Cricetulus griseus: one gene and its partners. The protein of the gene in region 1 interacts with the protein of each later gene in a pairwise test. Links are inferred from orthologs where the notes say so. Each region holds a gene or a part of one and is shown in the gene's direction. Other genes may lie near its edges.

What was found.
Region 2: the proteins of Wwp2 (region 1) and Fbxl18 interact in a two-hybrid assay, tested with the Homo sapiens proteins (3 studies listed by BioGRID and IntAct). The link is inferred for Cricetulus griseus from reciprocal best matches to the Homo sapiens genes WWP2 and FBXL18.
Region 3: the proteins of Wwp2 (region 1) and Fam189a2 interact in binary tests that used the Homo sapiens proteins (3 or more experiments, as listed by UniProt). The link is inferred for Cricetulus griseus from reciprocal best matches to the Homo sapiens genes WWP2 and ENTREP1.

What each region holds. Positions count from the first base shown.
Region 1 is NC_048596.1:183,768,671-183,772,934, forward strand, and holds the start of Wwp2 (NEDD4-like E3 ubiquitin-protein ligase WWP2), read left to right. Parts: upstream 1-1,348; 5' UTR 1,349-1,444; intron 1,445-4,264. UniProt on the Homo sapiens protein: E3 ubiquitin-protein ligase which accepts ubiquitin from an E2 ubiquitin-conjugating enzyme in the form of a thioester and then directly transfers the ubiquitin to targeted substrates.
Region 2 is NC_048597.1:79,449,768-79,453,406, reverse strand, and holds part of Fbxl18 (F-box/LRR-repeat protein 18), read left to right. Parts: coding exon 1-1,193; intron 1,194-3,639. UniProt on the Homo sapiens protein: Substrate-recognition component of the SCF (SKP1-CUL1-F-box protein)-type E3 ubiquitin ligase complex.
Region 3 is NC_048596.1:37,234,000-37,238,257, forward strand, and holds the start of Fam189a2 (protein FAM189A2), read left to right. Parts: upstream 1-1,349; coding exon 1,350-1,736; intron 1,737-4,258. UniProt on the Homo sapiens protein: Functions as an activator of the E3 ubiquitin protein ligase ITCH in the ubiquitination of the CXCL12-activated CXCR4 receptor. Thereby, triggers CXCR4 endocytosis and desensitization, negatively regulating the CXCL12/CXCR4 signaling pathway.

The sequences.
Region 1 (4,264 bases):
AAGACTTTCTATTGGCTTAGATGAATGTCTGAGCAGTTTTCTCTGGTAGATAACCCACAACAAAGGCACCAAACATCCAGGTGGTACACAGATGTGTATGCACAGGAAAAAGATCCATATAATAAAATACTAATGAAAAATTAAAAATTTCAGTTAACCAAAACCAAACCCAACAGAAAGCCAGATGGTGTGGCACATATCTGTTATCTGATCAACTGGGAGGTGGGTCCCAGCCTAGGGTGCATGAAACCCTGACTCCACCTGTCTCCTGACCCCCCCCCCCCCATGGCACAAAAAGGTAATCCTAACTACTCAGAGAATCAAAAGTTCAAGGCCAATTAGAACTCTTTAAGCAAGACCCTGCTCCAAATAAAAACTAGAAAGGTAACAACAGGACTGGCAACATAGGTCAGTAGGAGTGATCCCTGACTAGTATGAGCAGGGCTCTGGGTCCAACCCTCAGTGCCCCCAATGCCAGGAATTAAGAAGGCTGAGGATAGGGTTGAGTTCCAGGTCAGTCAGGGTTACATAGAGGCCGTTTGCTAATTCAAAACTTTCAGTTTACTCCATACAGGGAGGAAATGGGAGTTGGTTCCCCATGGGACACTTACGGACTTGGGTGAAGTTCTGAAGTGTGACCTCACCCCCACCCCCTTCTACTTTTGCTTCTTGGAACAAGAACAGATGTTCTATAAAGGCCAGGGCATTTATACTTCTAGAACTGAAAACAAGGCCTAGCATATAGTTGGCACAAGCTGCCAATATTAGCAATACATAAGATGCTTAAGTTTGACCAGTATACCTTTGTGGTGTCAATACATCCCTTTCCAAATTTGCGGACGTGGTTATAGTTACAAGGTTTATCCGATATTCAAATTTAAGGGGGGAACATACTGTTTTTTTGTTAGCAAGTTTTTGTTTGTTTGTTTTTTGAGACAGAGTTTCTCTGTGTAGTAGTCATGGCTGTTTTAGAATTCACCCTGTAGACAAGGCTAGCCTTGAATTTACGAAGAACCGCCTGCCTCTGCCTCCCAAATGCTGGTATTAAAGGGGAGCGCCACTATCACTCGGCTAGCATACTGTTTTTTTCTCCAGTAATCCCCGAAAGACTCGCTGAATTAACTGACCGGATGGTCTTCTCCCACCTGTTTCATGGAGGGAAACTCTACCTACTTCCAAAGGAATAAAATAAAGCCCCTGGTGCCCGGCGAGTCCCTATTTTGTATGTCTGCCCGAACACAACTCAGGAGCAAGAGGTCCTCGCCACTCGGGACCTCAGTAAATCAAAAGCTCGCATGCTGGGTCTAGGTGGTCCGCACCTGCGCGCCCAGGCCAGCCTCTTCCGGGTCAGGTGACCGCGCGCACTCACGTGACCCGGCCCGAGTGCGGGCGCTGGAAGGCGGAAGTGGAGCGGAGTTAGGCGCCGCTGGTGTGGCCGCTGCAGGTAGGTGGCGCGGGCGCTGGGGGCTCGGTGGCGAGCGGGCGGCGCGGGGTGGCCGGGGGCGGCGGGGGCGTGAGGGCTGGGGGCGGCGCGGGGCGGGCGCGGGGGCGGCGGCTTCCTGTGGGAGGGGCCTGGCGCGCGGTTCCGGCCTCCGAGGAGGGGTGTCCCGGCTTGCGCCCGAGCGGGGTGGGCGCGGGGCCCGGTGGGAGTCGCCAGCTGCTGGCGCTTCCGGCAGGGGACCCCTGCCTGGGCGCCTGCGGTGCGCAGGAGCCGCGTCTGTGGAGGGGACGGGACCTCGGCCCGGGAGACTAGCAAGCTCCCCAGAAGGGGCTGCCTGGGAGTGGGCGTCTGGTTTGTAGGGACGTGGAGAAAAAATCTGGACGATGCGGCCTGGACCCCATTCCGAGAGTCTCTTCCTTCCATCCTCTTTGAAGATGATGGCGACCTGAGACTTTAATTTCGGTCCGGTTCAGTTTTTAAACTTCAGGAGGGATCCCTCAGTCTTGATCGGCTGACTGTGGTCACACCCACTTTGCCCTGTTTGCTTAGGGTTCCCTCTTGTTAGGAGCCTAGCCCTTCAGATCATCTTTCTTTGAGATGCTCCCGGATCGGCTGATCTTCGAAAAAAAAAATAAAATAAAGACGGTGTGGGTGCTTTACTGGGATCATAACATGACTTTCAACCTACACAGTTGTCAGCGGCTTGGGCCAGCGTTACCTCAGCAACGCATTGACTGCTTAACTCTTGGACAGTAGAAAGTCTACCGATACTGCTTTAGACGATGCATCTTAGGCTTAAATTACACAGTTTCCTTTTCCATGAGACTTCTTATCTTGACCAGCTGTGACTAGGTGGGGTGACAGAGAAGTTTCTGTGGTATTCCTTAGAACTGTGACCTAGATCACATTTTTTTTTTTTTTTTTTTGAGGTTAAGATACCCATCTTAAGATTGTTCATCTTCCAGGCCGAGGCGTGAAGATGGCTGCAAGTTCCAGGCCAAGCCGGCCTGGGCTACACTGTTAAGACCTAAACAAACAACCAAGCCCTCCTCTTTTCCTTCACATTTACTAAACTTTGCAGAAGTGAAATGGGTTTTGTGAATGCAGTGAAGGAGTTAGAGTTCAAATGGGACGTTGACAGGAGCCAGGATCACAGGTCACTAGGGCAAAAAAAAAAACCAAAAACTTTGCATTAATACATTAGGAGTGGAAGACTTTGGGGTATATGACAAACATTCAAAAGTTAATTTTTGTAGCTGTCATGAGAAATCAATCCCCACTTCACAGAGAACAAACAGCTAAGAGGGTTGACTTTAAAAATATTTATTTTTATTTATTATGTGTGTGTGTGTTCGTGTCTGTGTATGTATGTCATATGTAGGGTGTGGGTGTCCACAGAGGCCAGAAGAAAGCATTGGGTCCCTTGAAGCCAGAGATACAGGTGGTTGTGAGCCTCTGCGCTTTCTTTCTTTTTAAAAAGATTTTATTTTGTCTGCATTCATGTCTATGTGAGGCTGTTGGATCCTCTGGAGCTGAAGTTACAGACAGTTGTGAGTTGCCATGTGGGTGCTGGGAATTGAATTTGGGCCCTCTGGAAGAGCAGCCAGTGCTCTTAATCACTGAGCTGTCTCTCCAGCCCCAAGCCTCTGGCCTGTCATTCTGGGAACTAAACTTTGGTCCTGTGGAAGAGCACTAAATACTCTTTAACTGTTGATCTATCTCTCTAGCCCCAACTTGACTTGTTTACTCATCTTCCTGCTAGACTGTAAATCATTCAAGGGCAGTGATCCTATTTTATGTGGCTTCCTTGGCTACTAGCCTCATGCCTGGTATGTTGTGAGTACTTGGTCAGTGTTTGAGAAATAAGGGAGTTTTTAAAGGTCACACTGCTGTATGTGGTGAAGAAGGGGTTTGAACTTAAGTTTCCTGTCCTTTTTCTGGTCAGTGAAGCTAGTTTTGTTCTGTGTTATTGGTCCCTAGGAAACCAAGGAGCCTGAGGCCAAAGGCTTGGATTGGCTTGTCGTTCTCTTTCACTGTTTTTTTTTTTTTTTTTTTTTTTTTTTTTTTTTTTTTTTTTTTTTGTCATTGAACTTTACACCTTACCACTGAGTTGGAGCTGTAGCCCTTCCCCTCTCCCCCACTCCTGTGTAGCTTTGGAGCCCATCCTAGCACTTGCTCCGGAGACCAGGCTGGCCTCAAACTCACAGAGATCCGCCTGCCTCTGCCTCCCGAGTGCTGGGATTAAAGACGTGCACCACCAATGCCTGGCTGTAGCCCTTCTTTTTGTAAGTTTTTTTCTTTTTCTTTTGAGACAGACTCTCAGTAAGTTTCCCTGGGTGGCCTCAAACTCCTGTAGCTCAGGAAAGCCTTGAACTTGTGCTCCTCCTGCCTCTGTCTCTTGAGTTAGCTGGAATTACAGGACTGCACTACCAGGTCTGTCTTTCATTTAATGACTACTTTCCCACTTGCAAAAAACTTACACCAGGTTCTCATTTATTCTTATATTTGGTTATTTCTTTCCTTATTTAAGACAAATTTTTATTATGTAGTCCTGACTGGTCTAGAGCTCACAAAGATCCACCTGCCTCTGCCTCCCAAGTGCTGGAATTAAAGTTGTGTTAAATTAAAATAAATTTAAATCAAAACTATGCTCAGCCTTTCCTTTTTTGAGACAGGGTCTCACTGTGGCTTTTGGCTTTTTGATACAAGGTAGGTTGTAGCCCAGGCTGACTTCAATCTGGCTATGTTGCTAAGGAACTTATGATTGGTTGATTCTCTTGTCTCTACCTTCCAAGAGCTGGCGTTGCAGCATTCATTTACCAT
Region 2 (3,639 bases), on another chromosome or scaffold:
TTGCTGCTCTACTTTGAGATCCTGGACCGCACACGTGAGGGTGCTGTCCTCTCCGGCCAACTCATGGTGGGCCAGAGCAACGTGCCCCATTACCAGAACCTGCGTGTCTTCTATGCACGCCTGGCTCCTGGCTACATCAACCAGGAAGTGGTGCGACTCTACCTCGCCGTGCTCAGTGACCGCACGCCTGAGAACCTGCATGCCTTCCTCATTTCTGTCCCTGGCAGCTTCGCGGAGAGTGGGGCCACCAAGAACTTGCTGGACTCCATGGCCCGCAATGTGGCCTTGGATGCCCTGCAGCTGCCCAAGTCATGGCTGAACGGCTCCACCCTTCTCCAGCATATGAAATTCAACAATCCCTTCTACTTCAGCTTTAGCCGGTGTACACTGTCAGGTGGCCACCTGATCCAGCGGGTCATCAATGGGGGGAAGGACCTGCGCAGCCTGGCCAGCCTTAACCTCAGTGGCTGTGTGCATTGCCTGTCTGCAGACTCGTTGCTCCGTAAGGCAGAGGACGACATTGACAGCAGCATCCTGGAGACACTGGTAGAGTCCTGCTGTAATCTGCACCACCTCAATCTCTCAGCTGCCCACCACCACAGCTCTGATGGCCTGGGCCGCCACCTCTGCCAGCTCCTGGCCCGGCTCTGCCACCTGCGTTCCCTCTCGCTGCCTGTCTGCTCTGTGGCTGACTCAGCACCTAGGCCTGACCGCGCGCCTGCCCCGCCGGCCATGCATGCAGTGCCCCGTGGCTTTGGCAAGAAGGTGCGCATTGGGGTTCAGACCTGTCCCAACCCCTTCCTGGGCCAGTCGGCCCCCCAGCCTGCCTCTGTGTTCTGGTCTCTGCTGAAGAAGCTCCCTTATCTGGAGCACCTGGAACTGATCGGGTCCAATTTCTCCTCAGCCATGCCACGCAATGAGCCTGCCATTCGCAACTCACTCCCACCCTGCAGTCGGGCACAGAATGTTGGGGATTCAGAGGTGGCTGCCATTGGTCAGCTGGCCTTCCTGCGGCACCTGACACTAGCCCAACTTCCAGGCATGCTGACAGGCTCTGGACTAGTGAGCATTGGCCTACAGTGTCAGCAGCTGCAGTCTCTGTCGTTGGCCAACCTGGGCATGATGGGGAAGGTGGTGTACATGCCTGCTCTTGCTGACATGCTGAAGCACTGCAAGCGGCTGAAGGACCTGAGGTGAGGGTGTGAGAGCATGAGGTGAGGGACTGAAGTAAGAGAAAGGGAGCTGAGGTGTAAGGAAGGGGTCAATGACTTGACAAGAAAATCTGAGTAACTGAGCTGGGGGTATGAGGTGAGGGGGCTGAGGAGCTGAGGTGTGAGGGGCTGAGGAGCTGAGGTGTGAGGGGCTGAGGGCCTGAGGTGTGAAGAGCAGAAGACCTCAGGCTTCTATGGGGCTTCCAGGGTTTGCAGATGTAGTCTGCCTGTCAAGGTGGAGCTCAGAGCCAACACAGACCTGTCCTGGAGATCAAAGGCATGAGAGACCTTAGTGTCTGCAGGGGATGGCTTCAGGAAACTGGGGTCATAGTAGTTAAGCAAAGCCTTGGGAGGTGTGTGAGGCAGGGACTCTGGGGATCCTGAGCTTACTTAGCATTTCATCTTGTCATCACCACTTCTCACATTTACTTAGTTCTTGCTGCGTGCTCCACATAGTACTACCTCATTCACAGCCTGTGATCTTAAATTATTTTTATATTTATTTACCTTTATTTTTATATGTGTGTGTTTTGCCTGTATGCCTGTTTGTGGCACCACATGTGTACAGTGCCTGTGGAGGCCAGAAGAGGATGTCGGATCCCCTGGAACTGGAGTTACTGAAGGTTGTGAGCCACTGTGTGGGTGCTGGGAACCCAACCTGGGTCCTTTGGATCAGCAGCCAGTGCCCCTAACCATTGAGCCATCTCTCCAGTGCTGTGTCCCATTTTCCCTACCCTTATACCCCCATTTTTTGAGATGAGGTCTGTCTGGCTGGCCTGGAACTTACATAGACCAGGCTGGCCTTGAATTTCCAGATCCTCCTGTGTCTGCCTCCTGAGTTCTGGGATTAAAGGTGTACTCCACTATACCCAACCCCAAATTTTATTATTACTATTATTAGTGTGTGGTGTGTGGTGTGTGTGTGTGGGGGGGGATACATTGCCACAGTGCACATGTGGAGTACAGAAGACAACTTTTTGGAGCTGGTTCTGCCCTTCATCTTTGTGTGGGTTCTGAGGATGGAATGTAGGTCATTGAACTTTCACAGCAAGTGCTTTTACTGTCTGAGCCATCTTATTATTCAAAACCTTAATTCCTCAGAAAAGGTGTTTCCCTGAAACTCATCATTCTGGCTGGCCAGGGAATTCCTGGAGGGTTACAGACATGTGGCCTTCCTGGGTTTACATGGTTGCTGGGAATTGGAACTCAGTTTCTTTTCTTTTCCTTTTTTTTTTTTTGGTTTTTCGAGACAGGGTTTCTCTGTGTAGCTTTGGAGCCTGTCCTGGCACTCACTCTGGAGACCAGGCTGGCCTCAAAGTCAGAGATCTGCCTGCCTCTGCCTCCCAAGTGCTGGGATAAAAGGTGCCTGGCTACTCCTTGGATTTTTGAGATAGGTTCTGTCTAGCCCAAGATGGTCTCATAACTGATGGTCTCACTCCATCTGGAATTACAGAATGCACCCCCAGGAATGGTGAGGGCCTTTATTCCAAGGAAGCACTCTACCACTGATCTGTCTCCAGCTCTCACTTTACTTTGTTTTAAGCAAGTTGTTATTGTCATCCAGGAGGACCTTTAACTCCTGATCATTTCACCTCAACCTCCAGAGCATCGGGGACCACAGGTGTGTCCCATCATGCTCCCCCCAATTGTAAGCATTTCTTTTTCCCTTCTGGACAGAGTCTCATGTGTCCTGGGATGGCCTCCTACTTTCCGTGTAGCTGAGGATGACTGGGACATCTTATTGACCTGTCTCTGCCTCTCAAGTGCTGGGATTATCGTGGGCTCCACCACGGTGGACACACCGTGTAGTGAAGACCCTGGCTCTGGGCAGGCAAGGGGGCCAGTTCTTTTTTTTTTTTTTTTTTTTTTCCTTCGAGACAGGGTTTCCCTGTGGCTTTGGATGCTGTCCTGGAACTAGCTCTTGTAGACCAGGCTGGTCTCGAACTCACAGAGATCCTCCTACCTTTGCCTCCCGAGTGCTGGGATTAAAGGCGTGCACCACTACCACTTGGCTAGGGGGCCAGTTCTTAAGGATTCTGCCAGTCCAGAGCTGTTGGTGGACGGGTAGAGGCAACATTGGGGCCACAAAGTCAGGTCTTAGTCTAAAGGGACTTGTACATGGCTGTCACTCTCTAGTACAGTTACTGCTTCTTTGGTGCTTGTCTCAGGGTGACTATTGCAGTGATGAAACACCATGACCAAAAGCAACTTGAAGAGGAAAGGGTTATTTGGTTTATACTTCTAGATCCCTGCCAGGATGGGAACTCAAACAGGGCAGGAACCTGGAGGCAAGAGCTGATGCAGAGACTATAGAGGGCTGCTGCTTACTGGCTTGCTCAGTCTGCTTTCTTATAGAATCCAGGGCCACCAGCCCAGGAATGGCACCACCTTTCAGGAATGGGCTGAGTCTTCCCCATCGATTGCTAAT
Region 3 (4,258 bases), about 150 Mb from region 1:
TAAGCTTGTGTTTAAAATAAAAGTTATAACCACAGCACTGAAGAAACTTAATTCATCTTTACCTGCAATTTGAGAGCATCTATTGTAGGTTTTTTTTTTTTTTTTTTTGTACACAAGACATCAGACTTCCAGCATTTATTTACAAAAACATATACTTTCCCCTCCAAACCCTGAAGTTTATTCCTGGGAGCAGTCTGAAAGGAAATTCCAGGCACTATTAATCCCAGGCACAGGTGGTTTAATGATTTAAAGATTGTATGTAAACATATGAACACTGGTAATACATTACACGATATGAAGCAATGACAACATAAATACAGCCTTTACAATCAGAGCACTCAGAGAAACCTGCATTTCTCTTGTTCTAGTGAACAGGAGGGAATTAAATTCCCTCACCTTTCCAATAAGACAAGCTTTCAAATACTAGAACTGGCTGCAAACTGACACTGCTCTGGCTCGTACCTGGAAAAGAAGCCCATTATCAGCAGCTCACCTATGATACATTAGACGTCTAGACATTCTATTAGGGGAAACCATTGTGCAAAGACGAATAATTGCTTTTTCTTTAAAGTTCAATAGATGCATCACAAATTACTAAAGTAGATTACGATTTCATTAGACTATTTCCTGGGAAGTTTGGGATTCTGTGTTCTATCAGGTGATGCCAATTAGCTCCGGGTCAAAGCTAGAAGGATGGAGCCTGTGCCAACTGCACAGGGTCGCCCTGGCCTCTTCCATTGTGAATGCTGGGTAGTAACTCCCAAGGTAACTTTTGTCTTACTACTCTTGTTCCCACTCTGGTGCTGGGAAAGCACCTCGTCCTCTCCCCGCAGGGCTGCAGCGTCAGCGCCGGGAATCCTCCCGCGGAGGTCATAGATACAGGTCGCACTCCCAGGCAGTAACGTCCAGGGAAGCATCATCTTCCCGGGCTTGGACCTTTTCCCGTCGGGGTTGCCAGCAGCCCCTCCTCCTAGCAGGGGGAGGGGGAGAATCACTCGGGACTTCCTTCCCATTTAAAGGTCGTCAGGGTCTCCCACTTTCAGGACGGTCCTCCGAGGTACCCGGGTCTACAACGCTTCCCTTGGCGCCACTGTTGGGGACAGACTATGAACGGTGGGCCGTTTCCTGACGCCTTTCCCGTGTGACCCTGAAGCGGCGGTGCACTTGTCACTGTGGGTGACCGAGAGGGATCGGCGGGGGGCGGGCCCCGCGGGGCAGGTGGGCGCGGCCGGCGCGGGCCGCGGCAGCAAGTGGTTGGGCCGTGCGCAGTCCGTCCTGCTCGGCGCCGGCGCGGGTGCCCGGTGCGCCGCACCCTCCGCTCCGCTGAGCCACCCGCCCGCTGCGCGCCCATGTCTCTGCCCGTGGTGCTCCCGGGTTCCTGCTGCCCGGTGGCCGGGCTGTCGGGCGGACCTCAGGCCGGGGGTCCTGGAGTCGCGACCACCGCCGCCCAGGAGCCGCCACTGCCCCCGCTGCGGCCGCGCTGGCCCCGGGGCGCTCTGCAGCCTCCAGCTCGGCCCCGCTGCGCCCCCGCCGCTGTGCTGGCCCCGCCACCCGCGCTCGCGTCCCGCCGCCCCGCAGCGCCTGGCTCCGCGCTGCTGCCCGCGCGCCCACTGCTGTCGCTCGGGCTGTTGCAGCTGATCCTGGGCTGCTGCATGGTGGCGCTCAGCTTCGGGGCGCTGTCGTTGAGCAGTTCGCCTCAGGTGAAGAACTCGTGCCCCTTCTGGGCAGGTTCCTCGGTGAGTACTGGGTGCCTCTCTGTGGGGGTCCGCCTTCTGGGCAGTGGGTTGTGGAGGGTCCCTCCTGTGTTTTAATTTTGCCTCAGTTGGGGAGCTCAGACCCTCAAGCCACCTAAAGTGTTTGGCCACATTGAGTGGGGGAAAAGTGTTGGGAGGTAGTCAAGTTCAAGGGAGAATTGGATTGCACCCGGGCAGCGTCTGTTCTTACACGTTAAGGATTTTGTTTCCAGTCAAGTTAACATTAAGCACAATATTAAGTTCTTTGAGAGAGTGGCATGAGGATGGGAGAAAAATGATTTCAAACTTTGTTGGCCACTGTACTACACTGGCGAAGTAAATTCCTGCAGGGCAGGGATTTTGATGTGTTTTCCTCACCGATACACCAACAATACCCGTGCAGGGTGGGGTACTTTTGGAATGGACAAAGTGACAGATAGAAGAGGGGGGAGGAGGAGATTGATTTGTTTTTATTCTTCATTTAAACACGGATAAATGAGAGTGTATCTGGTGTTGGGTGACTGCACCCTGAGGAGCTCAGAGGTAATAAGAGGTTGTGTGTGACTGGTGGCTTGTACCTGGTCATTAGAGGAGGGTTCAAACCCTGGGTGGGTTCTTGGAGCCACTAAGGTTGCCCTGCAGAAGTGGGTGCTCAAGAAACAGAACCTGTCATTATGGATGCACTCAATAGAATTCCAGAAGTGTGGGGCAGCTAGCTGGGGATATCTGCCCTGCCCTGGCACCTTGACCAATGGGTTAGGGAAGCCTGCCTCTGAGAACAGTGGCTGCCAGTGAGCAAGCGTCTGTAGACCAGATGGGTACTCATTCCTGCCTCTTAACTGTGTCACAACTTTCAGGGCATCCAACCCCTTGAGGTTTGCCAGGGGCCAAGAGCCTTGGAAACAGGTCTTTGTGCAATGCTTGTGGAAGATGAGTAAAGCAAATGACCTCTCTATGAACTAATGCACTCTGAGAGCCTGGTAATGTCTATAGCTTTTTCTACCATCTGCTCTACATTTTGTGCTCTACTGGTCAAAGCATATCCAGAGTCAAGACCAAATGTAAATTTCAAAAATGTGGGAGAACTTATTGAACCTAGAGTAATGGTTTGAATAAGAACATGAAGAGCATAAGCTTTCTCTGGCCTAACTCAGAATTTTGTATCACCCAATGTCAATCTACTCTTTTATTTTTGTTTGTTTGCTTTTTGTTTCTCTCTCTCTCTCTCTCTCTCTCTCTCTCTCTCTCTCTCTCTCTCTCTTCCTGAGACAGGGTTTCTCTGTGTAGCTTTAGAGCCTATCCTGGCACTCGCTCTGGAGACCAGGTTGGCCTCGAACTCACAGAGATCCACCTGCCTCTGCCTCCCAAGTGCTGGGATTAAAGGCATGGGCCACCAATGCCCAGCTTTGTTTTTTGTTTTTCAAGACAGGGTTTCTCTGTGTATCCTGGCTGGTTGTCCTGGAACTCGCTCTGTAGACCAGGCTGGCCTTGAATTCACAGAGATCTGCCTTCTTCTGCCTCTGAAGCACTGGGATTAAAGATGCATGCCAGCACTGCCTGGCAATCTACTCATCTTTTTTCTTTCATATATCTGTATATATGAAACCTTCTATTTTTAAAATAATTTATTTAACTTTATTTTTATGTGCATTGACATGAAGGTGTCATATCTCCTGGAACTGGAGTTAGAGACTGTTGTGAGCTGCCACATGGGTGCTGGGAATTGAACCCTGGTCCTCTGGAAGAGCAGCCAGTGCTGTTAACCTCTGAGACATCTCTCTTTTAAACACCTTTGCTAAATGGTTGGGACCCCAGTCTTTTTGTGCTATAGTGAATGAAGTTCACAACTTATGTATTAGATTGACAGAATCCCACCCTGTAGTCCTGTCCCTGGACTCTGCTACTGTCTTGTGAGTGTTCTGGAAAACCTTGAAATATGGGTACTCTAAATAGAATAGGAATGAGAATAATACCCCCCCCCCCAGGCTACGCATCCAAATGGTGACTGCATTTCTTTCCGATAAGTACCCTGGACCAGAATCTTGTATGTATTTTATGGATTTATTCTTTGTAAAATCATAATTCAGCATTCTCTCAAGATAGTTTATTGAAAAGATTTGTGGGGGGCACTAGGGAGACAGTTCAGTCAGTAAAGCATGGGGACCTGAGTCTGGATCCCTAGAACCCACCTAAAAGCTGGGTGTGGGCAGAGGGGAGTCTGTAACCCCAGTGCCTGGGGTGGGCTTGGGAGAAGGTGAGCACAAGTGGATTCCTGAAGGTCATTGGTCAGTCAGCCTAGTCAAACTGATGAGACACCCAGTCTCAACAAATGAAATATGGTAGAAAGTGTACCTAGTGTCATTCTCTGCCACCACACACATGCAGGGATAGTAACAAGTACATACACCACACACATAACCTACACACACACACACACACACACACACACACACACACACACACACACCATGGCTTTTTTTTTCTTTTCTAAAATTAAAATCTGAAATCATTTTGCAATTTCGAGT